3 linked regions of the Sus scrofa genome follow. The protein of the gene in region 3 binds, or shares a complex with, the protein of the main gene of each other region. Links are inferred from orthologs where the notes say so. Each region holds a gene or a part of one and is shown on either strand. Other genes may lie near its edges.

Evidence for each region.
Region 1: GTF2F2 (region 3) and POLR2C share a complex: the UniProt entries of both Homo sapiens proteins name them as parts of the TBP-based Pol II pre-initiation complex. The link is inferred for Sus scrofa from reciprocal best matches to the Homo sapiens genes GTF2F2 and POLR2C.
Region 2: GTF2F2 (region 3) and GTF2A1 share a complex: the UniProt entries of both Homo sapiens proteins name them as parts of the TBP-based Pol II pre-initiation complex. The link is inferred for Sus scrofa from reciprocal best matches to the Homo sapiens genes GTF2F2 and GTF2A1.

Annotation. Positions count from the first base shown.
Region 1 is NC_010448.4:19,392,259-19,396,005, reverse strand, and holds the start of POLR2C (DNA-directed RNA polymerase II subunit RPB3), read right to left. Parts: upstream 2,438-3,747; 5' UTR 2,339-2,437; coding exon 2,253-2,338; intron 2,070-2,252; coding exon 2,020-2,069; intron 819-2,019; coding exon 750-818; intron 600-749; coding exon 547-599; intron 1-546. UniProt on the Homo sapiens protein: Core component of RNA polymerase II (Pol II), a DNA-dependent RNA polymerase which synthesizes mRNA precursors and many functional non-coding RNAs using the four ribonucleoside triphosphates as substrates.
Region 2 is NC_010449.5:104,006,494-104,010,236, forward strand, and holds the start of GTF2A1 (transcription initiation factor IIA subunit 1), read right to left. Parts: upstream 2,826-3,743; 5' UTR 2,379-2,825; coding exon 2,349-2,378; intron 1,407-2,348; exon of another isoform or gene 1,320-1,406; intron 1-1,319. UniProt on the Homo sapiens protein: TFIIA is a component of the transcription machinery of RNA polymerase II and plays an important role in transcriptional activation. TFIIA in a complex with TBP mediates transcriptional activity.
Region 3 is NC_010453.5:22,001,878-22,005,524, forward strand, and holds part of GTF2F2 (general transcription factor IIF subunit 2), read right to left. Parts: intron 3,029-3,647; coding exon 2,885-3,028; intron 1-2,884. UniProt on the Homo sapiens protein: TFIIF is a general transcription initiation factor that binds to RNA polymerase II and helps to recruit it to the initiation complex in collaboration with TFIIB.

The sequences.
Region 1 (3,747 bases), on a different chromosome or scaffold from region 3:
TTCTAAGCCTGTTATCACATCACAGGAGCAGAAACAGGGCTCTAGAGGAAGGGAGCCATGTTTAATTAGCAAAACCTAGGAGTAAGGCATAAAGCTGGCAGACATCAGCACCCCAGTCCCTCGTGTGCTCCTCTGTGGGACAGTTCTCACCCCCTCTGCTCCCTGTCCACACCCACTAACCTTCTGCTGCCGCCCTTTGGCCTCCTAAGACCCTGCCCCTGGGAAGAGATGCTGTGGAAAGCAGAATGTGAACAGATCAGACGCTGAGGAGGAACAGCTCCACCTGTTGTGTATAAGTGGGCATCCAGGTGTATATCCACTCTTGTGTGGCGGGCTCTCAAAACCCCTTGATGCCCCTGGAGCCTCGTCAATCTGAGGCCCCATGAGATTTTAAGAACATAGCCTGCCCTGGGCTCTGGACAACATCTCCACACTGTCTTTCTAAAAGCTGCAAGCAAGGTGTCAGGAAAAATCCCTTTGAGAACGTGAGTTCCCTGCTTCTCTCGATTCCTGACCCCCGACCTCCCAAGCAATCACACAGCATACCCGGGAGTACTGCAGCTTGTCCACAATGTCGTCACTAGTGAGGGGGATTAATCCTGGAAGACAGAGAGAAGCAGTTTAAACAAGGTCAAGGGGCCAAGCCAAAGGAAAAGCCAGCAGTCCCCTTGGGAGTGAGGAGACTTCCTCCCCTGAAACCGGCAGAGCCCCACTGCCCTGCCCTTTAACTTCCCAAACCCAGCACTCACCAAGCCTGTGAGCAATGAACTCGTCGTGAAGGACTGAGGAATTGGCATCAATCTGAACCCAGTCAATTGCTAAAGAAATAAAGGAAGCAGAGCAGATATGCAGTTTAGCCACCAAATTCACCTGAAGGCTTAAGAACAGTGGTTCTTCAGATTTAAAAATTATCTAATGCTTACCACATTGCAGACACCAAGGCCAGGCTGCCAGAGACTGATTCTGCAGCTCTAGAGGGGGGCCCAGGAAGCTACACTTTAACAAGAACCACATGCCAACATGCTCAGGTGGATCTGATACAGGGAGTACCCTACACCACCCAGAAAAACAGCGACTTGTAGACTACTACAGAAAGGTGTTTCTCTGAGTTGACTATTTCTGTGGGAAGCACTCTAGTCTACCATTCATGCCATCACCAAATCCAAGAACACAAACTATTTGAACACCTCAAAGTTAAACAAATCTCACAAAAACAACACAGACTTATGATCCATAGTGCTTTTTCTCCCCCTCTGATTTTTAGGGCCACCTCTGCAGCATATGGAAGTTCCCAGGCTAGGGGTTGAATCAGAGCTACAGCTGCCAGCCTATGCCACAGTCACAGCTACTCAGGATCCGAGCCCTGTCTGAGACCTACACCACAGCTCACCGAAATGCCAGATCCCCGACCCACTGATGGAGGCCAGGGATCGAACCCACAACCTCATGGTTACTAGTCGGAATCGTCTCCACAGCACCACGACGGGAACCCCATATCACAATTTATGGTATAATGACCAGACTGATTGCATTCCCAGTGCCTCGCACCACTGCCTGGTACTTATAAGCTCTGTAAACTCAGTGGATGGAACAGATTCATAAAAAGATATTTACCGGTACTGAGCACTCACTAAATACAAGGCAATTAATAGAGATTACCCCACTTAATCCTTGACGTCACCCTGATAACTACTATTAGCGTCCGAATGTTAAGAGGAAATTGCAGCACAGTTTGATAACTTGCCTAAGTTTCACAAAGACAGTATTCGACCTCAAGTCTGCAAACTCCTGAACCTGTGCTCTTTACCTCGAAGAGTGGAACTGAGTGGCCCGTGGGAGCCAGGGAAGGGGCCACAGTGGCCCTGGGGCAAGAGCACGGGGTCCGATCAAGTCTCCAGCATTGCTGTTTTCGCAGCGCCCCCACCCTGGGCCCCAAACAAGGCTGGAGTCAGGAACGCCAAGGTATGGGGAGGTGGGGGAACTGGTGGCCCTGACCACGAGGAGGCGAGGGCCGCTTACCTATTATGGGCACCTCAGCGATGAAGACCCTCCGGATAGAATTCGCCACCCTAAGGAATGAAAACCAAGCGGCGCGTGGGCACCGCAGACTCGACAGCCGGCCCCGCGCCCCACGGCTCCCAAAGCAAAAGCCCCGGCTCCGGGGCCAGTTCAAGAAAGACAGACCCCCGCCCCTCCAGAGCCGAGGCCCCGGGCACTCTGAAGCCGCCAGCCCCTTCCCTCAGCACCCTTACGCCAGGTCCGTATTCTCGATAATGAACTTGACATTCTCGTCGGTGAGCTCGGTGATCCGCACGGTTGGCTGGTTGGCATACGGCATCGCGCCAGACTGCTCGCGGGGCCTTGGGGGTCGGTTCTGCTGCTCGCGCCCCTGCGCCTGCGCCTGCGCCTGCGCCTGCGCCTACGCCGCCACCGGAAGTCGTTCAGCGCGGTCCCGCCGCTTCCGCAGAGACACGCTCAGAGCGCCGCCTGCTGCTCGGAGGCCAGGCTGCTCCGACGTTTTCTACCCTCAACCTACTTCAAAAGGCACCAGGTTCAACCATTTAGAAGGCGACTTAGTAAAACATGCACACGCCCTTGACTCCACAGAAACACTTCTAGAAATTCATATGAGAAGTGCGTGCAGTTGTAAGCAAAGATACATGTACAAGGATGTTCATTGCAGCACTATAACAAAAAACGATAAATAAAACGGATTGCCCACTGACACAGACCTGGTTAAATATACATAGGAATACTATAACAGTGTTTTTGGGGTAGGTTGTTTGGGGGTTTTGGGGGGTTTTGGGGGGGTAGGGGGGGTTGGCATGTGAAAGTTCCTGGGCCAGGGATCAAACCCATGACACAGCAGCAACCTGAGCCACTGCACTGACAACAAAAGGCCTTTAACTATATATATTTTTTTCTTTCTCCTTTTTAGGGGTGCACCTATGGCACATGGAAGTTTCCGAGCTAGGGGTTGAATTGGCACTGCAGCTGCCAGCCTATGCCACAACCATAGCAACACCGGATACTTAACCCACCCACGGAGGCCAGGAATCAAACCTGAGTCCTCATGGATACTAGTCAGGTTCTTAACCCACTGAGCCACAATGGGAACTCCCAACAATAATGTCTTTTAATGAGGTTTGTACACTGATGGAGGAACAAAAAGACAGTCAGTCCTCCCTATCCAAGGGTTCTTCAAGAAGACTGAAAGAAAAAAAAAAGTCCATAGAGTTCCAAAAAAGCAAAACTTAAAAATTTGCTCACACCCAGCAAATATTTACATAACATTAAACATTGTATTAAGTACTATAAGCAATCTAGAGATGATTTGAATTATGTGGATGTGTGTGGATTATATGCAAATCTTATGCCATTTTATATAAAAGAATTGAGCATCCAGATTTTGAGAGGGGACGGGGGAGTTCTAGAACCAAAAGCCCAAAAGACTGAGGGATGACAATACTTTACATGTACTTAGCAAAATTTGCTTGAGTGATAGGTTTATACCCTTTCCCTTCCACTCCTAAGTCTGGATCATGCACTTTTGACACTGCAGGAAGATGCAGTTCTCTTCAACCTATCACCTCCAGTTCTGCGGAGGTGGGTGGGTTATGATCTCTTCATCTCTGCATCTCCAGTGCCTGGCAGTGTGTGTCACCCAGGGGCAATGTACGACAAAGAATTATGCAAGTCCCCTAAACAGTCCCCCTAGAGAGAAGTTTGAATAGGCCTCAAAAAGGT
Region 2 (3,743 bases), on a different chromosome or scaffold from region 3:
TGATGATATAAATTATTTTTTCAGCAAACTAGATGCTGTTTTAGTGTTTCTGAAGTCAGTCACCCCTAAAAATATCTGCTTGGTGATCCACACATTTATAGGTACAATGTGCTTTCCTCTGGAACTCCCTACTTAATGAATCAATCTTACTTTAAGAGTTTGCCTAGGTGCTTTAATTAACTTGCAAAGTGACCACAGAGATTCACATGCACTACAGCTGAAGGAAGGGAAATGTGTATTCTTCAGAAGTATACGCATAAAGAGTAATTCAGGATTGCTCATTAATTTAAAAAGTGTCCAAAATACTGATGTTATTAAAAATATGTGAATACATAGGCACTATGTGAACTAAGCAAGTTCATTTAAAATGCTAAACTTTATTTTACTTGAGCCAAAGTTTTTGTCTTTTATGAAATACATAGTAATCTAGGTTTGTCCTGTTTTTCAAAAACAAGATAGTCCAAACTTTGAAACTTTAATTAAAGGGCCATCAGTGGCATAAGCTAATGATTAAAGGGTTTCTTCAAAAGTTTGAGACTCTAGTACAATATTGGAAAATAAACTGGATTAATATCTATATTGGATACCATATTACCATGCAAATAAATGAAAATACCGTCTACTTAGAATTTTAATTTTTGAATACCCAGTTTGCACTAAGCCTTCTCACATTATTCATAATATCCCATACATACACGTATTGTTGACAGGAGGTCCTATGTCAAAGCTTTAGATACTTATCTACTTTGAAAAGCTTCGTGTCTCAAATATTTATTATAGGAAAAATAATGAAGTATTACGAGCTATAGTCTAACATTCCCTGAATACTTGATAAACAAAGCACTACCAAAATCAAATCCTCTACAGCTAACAGGTAATGCCTAAAGCTTTTCAAAAACAAACAAAAAACAAAAAAAAATAATGCATGCATCTTCTCAATACAGGAACAATTAAGACATCTAAGCTAAAATTCTCTTTAAAAACAAAACACAAAATAAAAAGGGACAGCAATTCTATTTTCCCCTAACAAAGGTTAAGTCCCAGCTGCTGCATCAAAACAAAAACTTAGGGCTCCTAAAGCAGCCCCGATTGGGTATGAAATTAGAGTACGAAAGGACTTGGAAATAAATTGAGCTCTACACACGCCTGCCTCTCGCCTCGAGAGCACGCACCTCCCAGCCCCGCTCTCAGCAGCTCTCACTATTTAAAGCCGGATCTGGTGTTTAAATGGAGAGGCGGTGACGTAGGCCTGAAAAGCACCTTCCCATCCTGGCAGAGTCTATATTAGAGAGCGGCAATGGCTCTATATAAACAGGGCAGCCAAAGGGAGGAGGACCACAAGGCTCAGGGACTGAAAGGCAGGGTAAGCGGCCGCAGCCATGATGGATCGACCCGAGTCGTCAACGGTACGGAGTCGGGCGGCCGCGGGCTTGTCTGCATTTGGGACCGGGCAAAAACGTGTTTTATTGTCACAATAAAAATAAGAGAGTGGGGTGGACTAGTGATCACATTGCGTTGGTGACTGAAAAGGTTATTTATGTGACTGCTTTTTGCAAACCTACGTGATCGCAAGTAAGAAAAAAGGGACAAACGGTGAGAAGTAGGCAAATTTCGAGGCGAAAGTGGGGGCACTTTGACCACTGTAAGCTTTGTTTGTTTTGGTGTTTTTGCTAGTCGAAGATACGATGGGGGGGGTTGCTTCCCCTTCGCCATTTTACCGATTCGGAAGGAACCGAGATAAGTGCTTTTCAACCTTCGTCCTTTTTTTTTTTTTTTTTTCTTAAACGTAAAATGGCCCCAGTGAAGCCTCCTAAGCACAACCCGCCACAACACCCAAAGTAACCCCCAAGTAGCCATTAGCCTTCCACTGCGTTAAAGTGGATCGCGGTGGGTCTTGGGGATTCGCCCAGTTCCCAAGACACGGTTTTTGTTTTGAGGCTGCTCGGAGAGCCCTTCTCCAGCCAGCGCGGCAGGACCCGCTTCGGGGAGGAAGCGGAGGCTCCCCTCCCGCCCTCCCTCCTGGCGGATGGGGTCTGGGGCCAGGGCCGCGCGCTCATCCCGGCCTCAACCGCCTCAGCGGCCCGGACCGCCCCGCGGCAGTTCCAGGCCCCGCCGGCACCCCCGCCCTCCCTGCCGCCGCGGCCCCGAGCCCTCGGCACCCCCCCGCGCCCGCCGCCCCGCGCCCCGGCCCGCTCCGCCCGAGGCGGGAAGCGGCGGCGGCAGCGGCGGCAGCCGCGCGGGCAGCTGAGAGTTGAGGCCGGGAGTCGCCGCCGTCCCCGCCCCCGCCCGGTCCGGCCGTTGCTGCCGCCTGAACGAAGCCCCCGCCGGCCACCGAACCACGTCCTTACCACGGTGTTTGTATTTGCCGAGTTCGCCATTTCCACACACAACACAAACAAGAGGGGGGCAAGCCCCGAGAAAACAAGATAAAAACAAAACGAAAAAAAAAAAAAAAAACACCCAGAGGGTGACCCAAGCCACCGCAAAATTGGGGGGGGAATTTTAAACAAAATCGGATCCTGCTGGATTAGAGGGGATCGGCGAGGGGAGGAAGAGGAGGGGGCAGTCCTCCCGGAGCTAAAAACTCGAGGATCGCCCTTAAAAAAAAAAAGGGCACGACCCTTCTGGGGTTTGGGGGGCGTTGCCCGCTCCCCACCCCGCGCCAAGGAGGGAAACCACCACTGGTCGCCGCTCCCCGCGCCGCCGCTGCCGCCACCGGCTGCAGCTCCAGCCGTCCGGTCCGCCCGCTTCTCCCTTTATATAGTGAGCCAACGAGCTGCGCGAGCCGCCGCTGCCGCCGCTGCCGCCGAGAGACAGGGCGGAGGGGGAGGGAGGGGCGGAAAGGGCGGGGGCAGAGGTGGGCGGGGCTGAGCGCAAGACACCGCGAGAGCCGCGTGCGCAGGCGCGCCGGGGCGGAGGCCGCCGCGAGCCGCGTCGTCACGCTCAGGGGAGGGTGTTGTGTGGGCGGGACCCGGGGACTTAAGTAGGGAAGTCCGACCGCGGTCTCCCCAAATGTCGCGTGATCACGTGGTCGGCAACCAGGCGGAAGTCTCCGGCTGCTGTTTTGGGATGAAGAACTTGCAAAGCTCTGTTGGAGAAAAGCGTGAGTTGTGGCGACGCTCGAGTCGAAACCTAGCTGATTCCGCCTCCTGTCGGGAGATTCTGAGCTGTCCCACGCTGGAGGGGCTAGGAAATGTAGGAGCTCTGGCGGCTGCCCCGCTAGGCATGGCTGTGGAAAAGGGCGGGTCACGTGGCCCGGCTTCCGGCAAAAGTTTTAAGTGCGGAGTCATCTCCGAGCGTGAGCTAAGGTCAGACTCCTAGTTGCTGAAGCGTTAGCACGCCTTGCTGAGGGTGGGCCTTTCGCTTGCAAAATTGTGTATGAGTTCCTGAAAGGGAACTGATTTGGTTCCCCTCTTACTACATTCAACAATTATTACATATTATTACATTCCACAATTAATAATCCCTGAAGCCAGCAGAGTTGTCTGTCTCCATCAGTACAACTACAAAGTCTCTTTAAATTTCCGTTCCCCAGAGTCCCGGCCTCTCCAAGCCCACTTACTTCAAATAACTTCTCAAGGTGGTAGAAATGTTAAAACTAACCCCCCAAAAAAGGTCACCACCTGGATTATGACCGCACAACTTTTCCTGGTTTTTTTTTTTTTTAAATGTTGCAAAAATTCAGTGATTCCATATGTTCAGCACGTGCTAACATCTTGAATACTTGCCCTTGACCCATCAAC
Region 3 (3,647 bases):
GGTGTGAGAAAGTTAAATAGGAGGAAATGTGACTCAAAGGCTGGAGAAAGGATTCAGATCTCATTTGTTACCAACATTTTAAATGGATTAGAAACACAATTTATTAGCAAATAGGCACAAGAATCTGGATAAATGATAAGAACAAAAAAAATTTTTTTTTGTTTTTTGTTTTTTGTCTTTTTGCCATTTCTAGGGCCGCTCCCGAGGCATATGGAGGTTCCCAGGCTAGGGGTCTAATCGGAGCTGTAGCCACCAGCCTATGACAGAGGCACAGCAACGCAGGATCCGAGCCGCGTCTGCAACCTACACCACAGCTCGTGGCAACGCCGGATCGATAACCCACTGAGCAAGGGCAGGGACCGAACCCACAACCTCACGGTTCCTAGTCGGATTCGTTAACCACTGCGCCACGACGGGAACTCCACAAAAAAATTTTTTTTTCTTTTGGTCTTTTTTTGCCTTTTCTAGGGCTGCTCCTGCAGCATATGGATGTTCCCAGGCTAGGAGTCCAATCGGAGCTGCAGCCACTGGCCTACACCACAGCCACAGCAATGCTGGATCTGAGCCATGTCTGCAACCTACACCACAGCTCACAGCAACGCTGGATCCTTAATTCACTGAGCAAGGCCAGGGGTTGAACCCACAACCTCATGGTTCCTAGTTGGATTCGTTAACCACTGAGCCACGGATGGGAACTCCAAGAACAAAAACTTTCTAAAACCTTAATTTATTAAAATTTTCCTTGAAAATGTAGATTTGGCCAACCCAACCACAATCTCAGTGAGCAGTGTGAGGCAGTACAGCGCAAGTTTAAAGGAGCTAATGTTAGTGCTATATAGATGCTGATTAAATTAAAAAAAAAAAATCCACAGATAATAGTTCACAAAATGGGAAGAGACCAGTATGGCTTTTAAAACAATGTGATTCTATGAGGCACAACCTTTACCTCCATTCCCTCCAAAAAAGCTGAATTGTGTAGAGATGGAGGGGAACAAAATACAAGAAATGATACAAACAGACTTCGGGCTTAAGGTCAAGGATCAATCAAAAGGAGGACAAATCCACCTTTTTTCAGATGAAACTATCGGTAGTGAATGTCTTTAAAGTTTAAAATAATGGGCATTGTTCCACCTGCTCCTAGACGAGCATCACCTTCTGCTCAGCCAACCGTGACCTGGCCTGGCCTCCACCATTGCTTTGAGGCTGCCCCTGCCAGAGCACAGCTACACATGGAGTTGCCCATGAGAGGCACTGATCAACTGCTAATCCAGTTTTGTTATTTAGAATGTGTACCCTGGTGACTTTCCACTTGGAGCTCATTTTTAAAAGTCACTCTTAGACAGAAATGAAGAGACATTTTTCAAAAGAGGTAGTGCACAGGGCCGAAAGGCTCATGAAAAGATGCTCAACATTAATAACCATTAGGGAAATGAATGTCAAAACCACAATGAGATATCACCTCACACCAGTCGGGAACAGCTATCATCAAAAACAGTAACAAAAAAACAAAGCCCAAAAACCAAAAAATTCCAAAAAACCTAAAGCCCACAAATAACAAATATTGGTGAGGGAACCCTCCTACACTGTTGGTGGGACTGTAAATTGGTGCAGTTGCTGTGGAAAACAATATAGAGGTTTCTCCAAAAACTGGAAAAGAACCACCACATGATGCAGCAATTCCAACAGTGGATATATACATCTAGGGGGGAAAAAAACAAAACTCACCAACTCAAAGGATATGTGCACCTCAATATTCATAGCAGCATCATTTAATTTTTCTTTTTATGGTCGCACCCAGGGCATATGGAAGTTCCTGGCCCAGGGACTGAATGTGAGTCACAGCTGCAACCTTTGCCAGATCCTCTAACCGACCGCGCCAGGCCACAGATCGAACCTGCATCTCCACAGCGATGCAAGCTGCCCTAAGTCAGATTCTTAACCCACTGTACCACAATGGGAACTTTTTTTAAACTTCGTATTTCATTTTTTTGGAGTGGGGGGTAAAGGAGAAAAAGATAGCTTTATTGCTTTGCCAGGCAAAGGGGGCCATAGCAGGTTAGTGCCTTAAAGACTGGCCCCCTTTTTTAAAAAAATAATTTCCAAGATGTGAAAGCAACCCTAGGTGTCCACCAAGAGACGGATGGATAAAGATGTAGTGTCTATATACACACAGTGGAACACTGCTTGGCCATAAAAGTGAAAGAAATGTTGCATCTGCAGCAACATGGATGCACCTGTAGAGCCTTACACTAAGTGAAATAAGGCAGAGGGATAAAGACAAACACTCTACGTTAAAACTTATATGTGGAATCTGAACAATACAACAAATTAGTGAAGATAACAAAAAAGAAGCAGACTCATAGATACAGAGAACAAACTAGAGGCTACCAGTGGGGAGAAGGGAGAGAGGAGGGGCAATAGAGGGGGAGGGAGTAAAAAGGACAAACAATTAGGTGGAAAGTAGGCTACAAGGACATACTGTGCCATACAGGGAGTATAGCCAATATTTTATAACACTCTAACGAAGTATAACCTTTAAAAATGAAACAAGCAAAAAACCACAGGTACCATTTTTTTTTTTTTTAAATGAAAACGAGTTTCTAGCACAATGCCTGGCTTACAGAAGGACACAATAAATATGAATTGAATGAATGAGCTTTCATAAAAAATAAATAAATAGATTTCACAACAATGAAGCTAAAGTTACCAAATAAATAATTAAAAATAAAAACAAAAAGGAAAGACAGAGAAAAAAGGCTACATTCAGACATCTTTTCTGTGCTGGAGTAAAACCTGGCATCAGTGTGGGTGTGAGTGAACTTACTGACAAGGCACTTCTCAGGAAAGCCGTACGAGTGAAGGGTCAGTGTGAGCAGATACATACCACAGGCTGTTTCGTGATGTCCACCAGGTCCTTCAGGTTGTAATACTGGTGTTTCTCAAAAGCCGAAAACAGCATATCCAAAACATATTGCTTATCAGCTCGGGCTCGTTTTCCATCTTCTTTCTTTTTCCTTTCATATTCAATCTACATGCAAAAAGAAAAAGGAAAAAAAGAAGACGACGTCAATCCAAGACGCTCCCTCTGAGACGGAGCATTGTCTTTTCAGCCGTTCACACGACTGTGAGACGTTCAGTCATGAGGCAGCAGGTCCAAGAGCAGCGTTTGGAACCGGGGGCTCACTGCTCGCAGGGCTCCTCTCACCTTTCAGGCTCTAAGAAGGTGTGCATGCCTACTGGAAACCATTTTCATTATTTCCTAAAGCTTTAGGGAATGTGTCCATTTCCCCCCAAACAGCCTTCTTTGCTGAAATTATATCAATGCAGCATGGCTACTGGTTAGTACGATGCTGATCACAAGGTCTAACTGCAATTCTTTGTTTCTGATTACCCACAATACAGTAAAAATAGTTTATCTGATGGATACAGTTTGGTAGGTAACATCTTTCAAAACTGGAGTTTTCTCAGGGCAGGAAGAGGGCTAAGGGGCAGGCGGAATGTGGAACCGGTTCTCTAGGAATGAAACATTGGTAAAAAGGAAAGAACATGGGCTGTGACAGAAGCCTGTTTCTCTCTAAAATTTGTGACCTACCTGAACTTGTTTCTTCTGTAAAATGAAGCAAGGACGGGCAAAGAACGTGTAAACT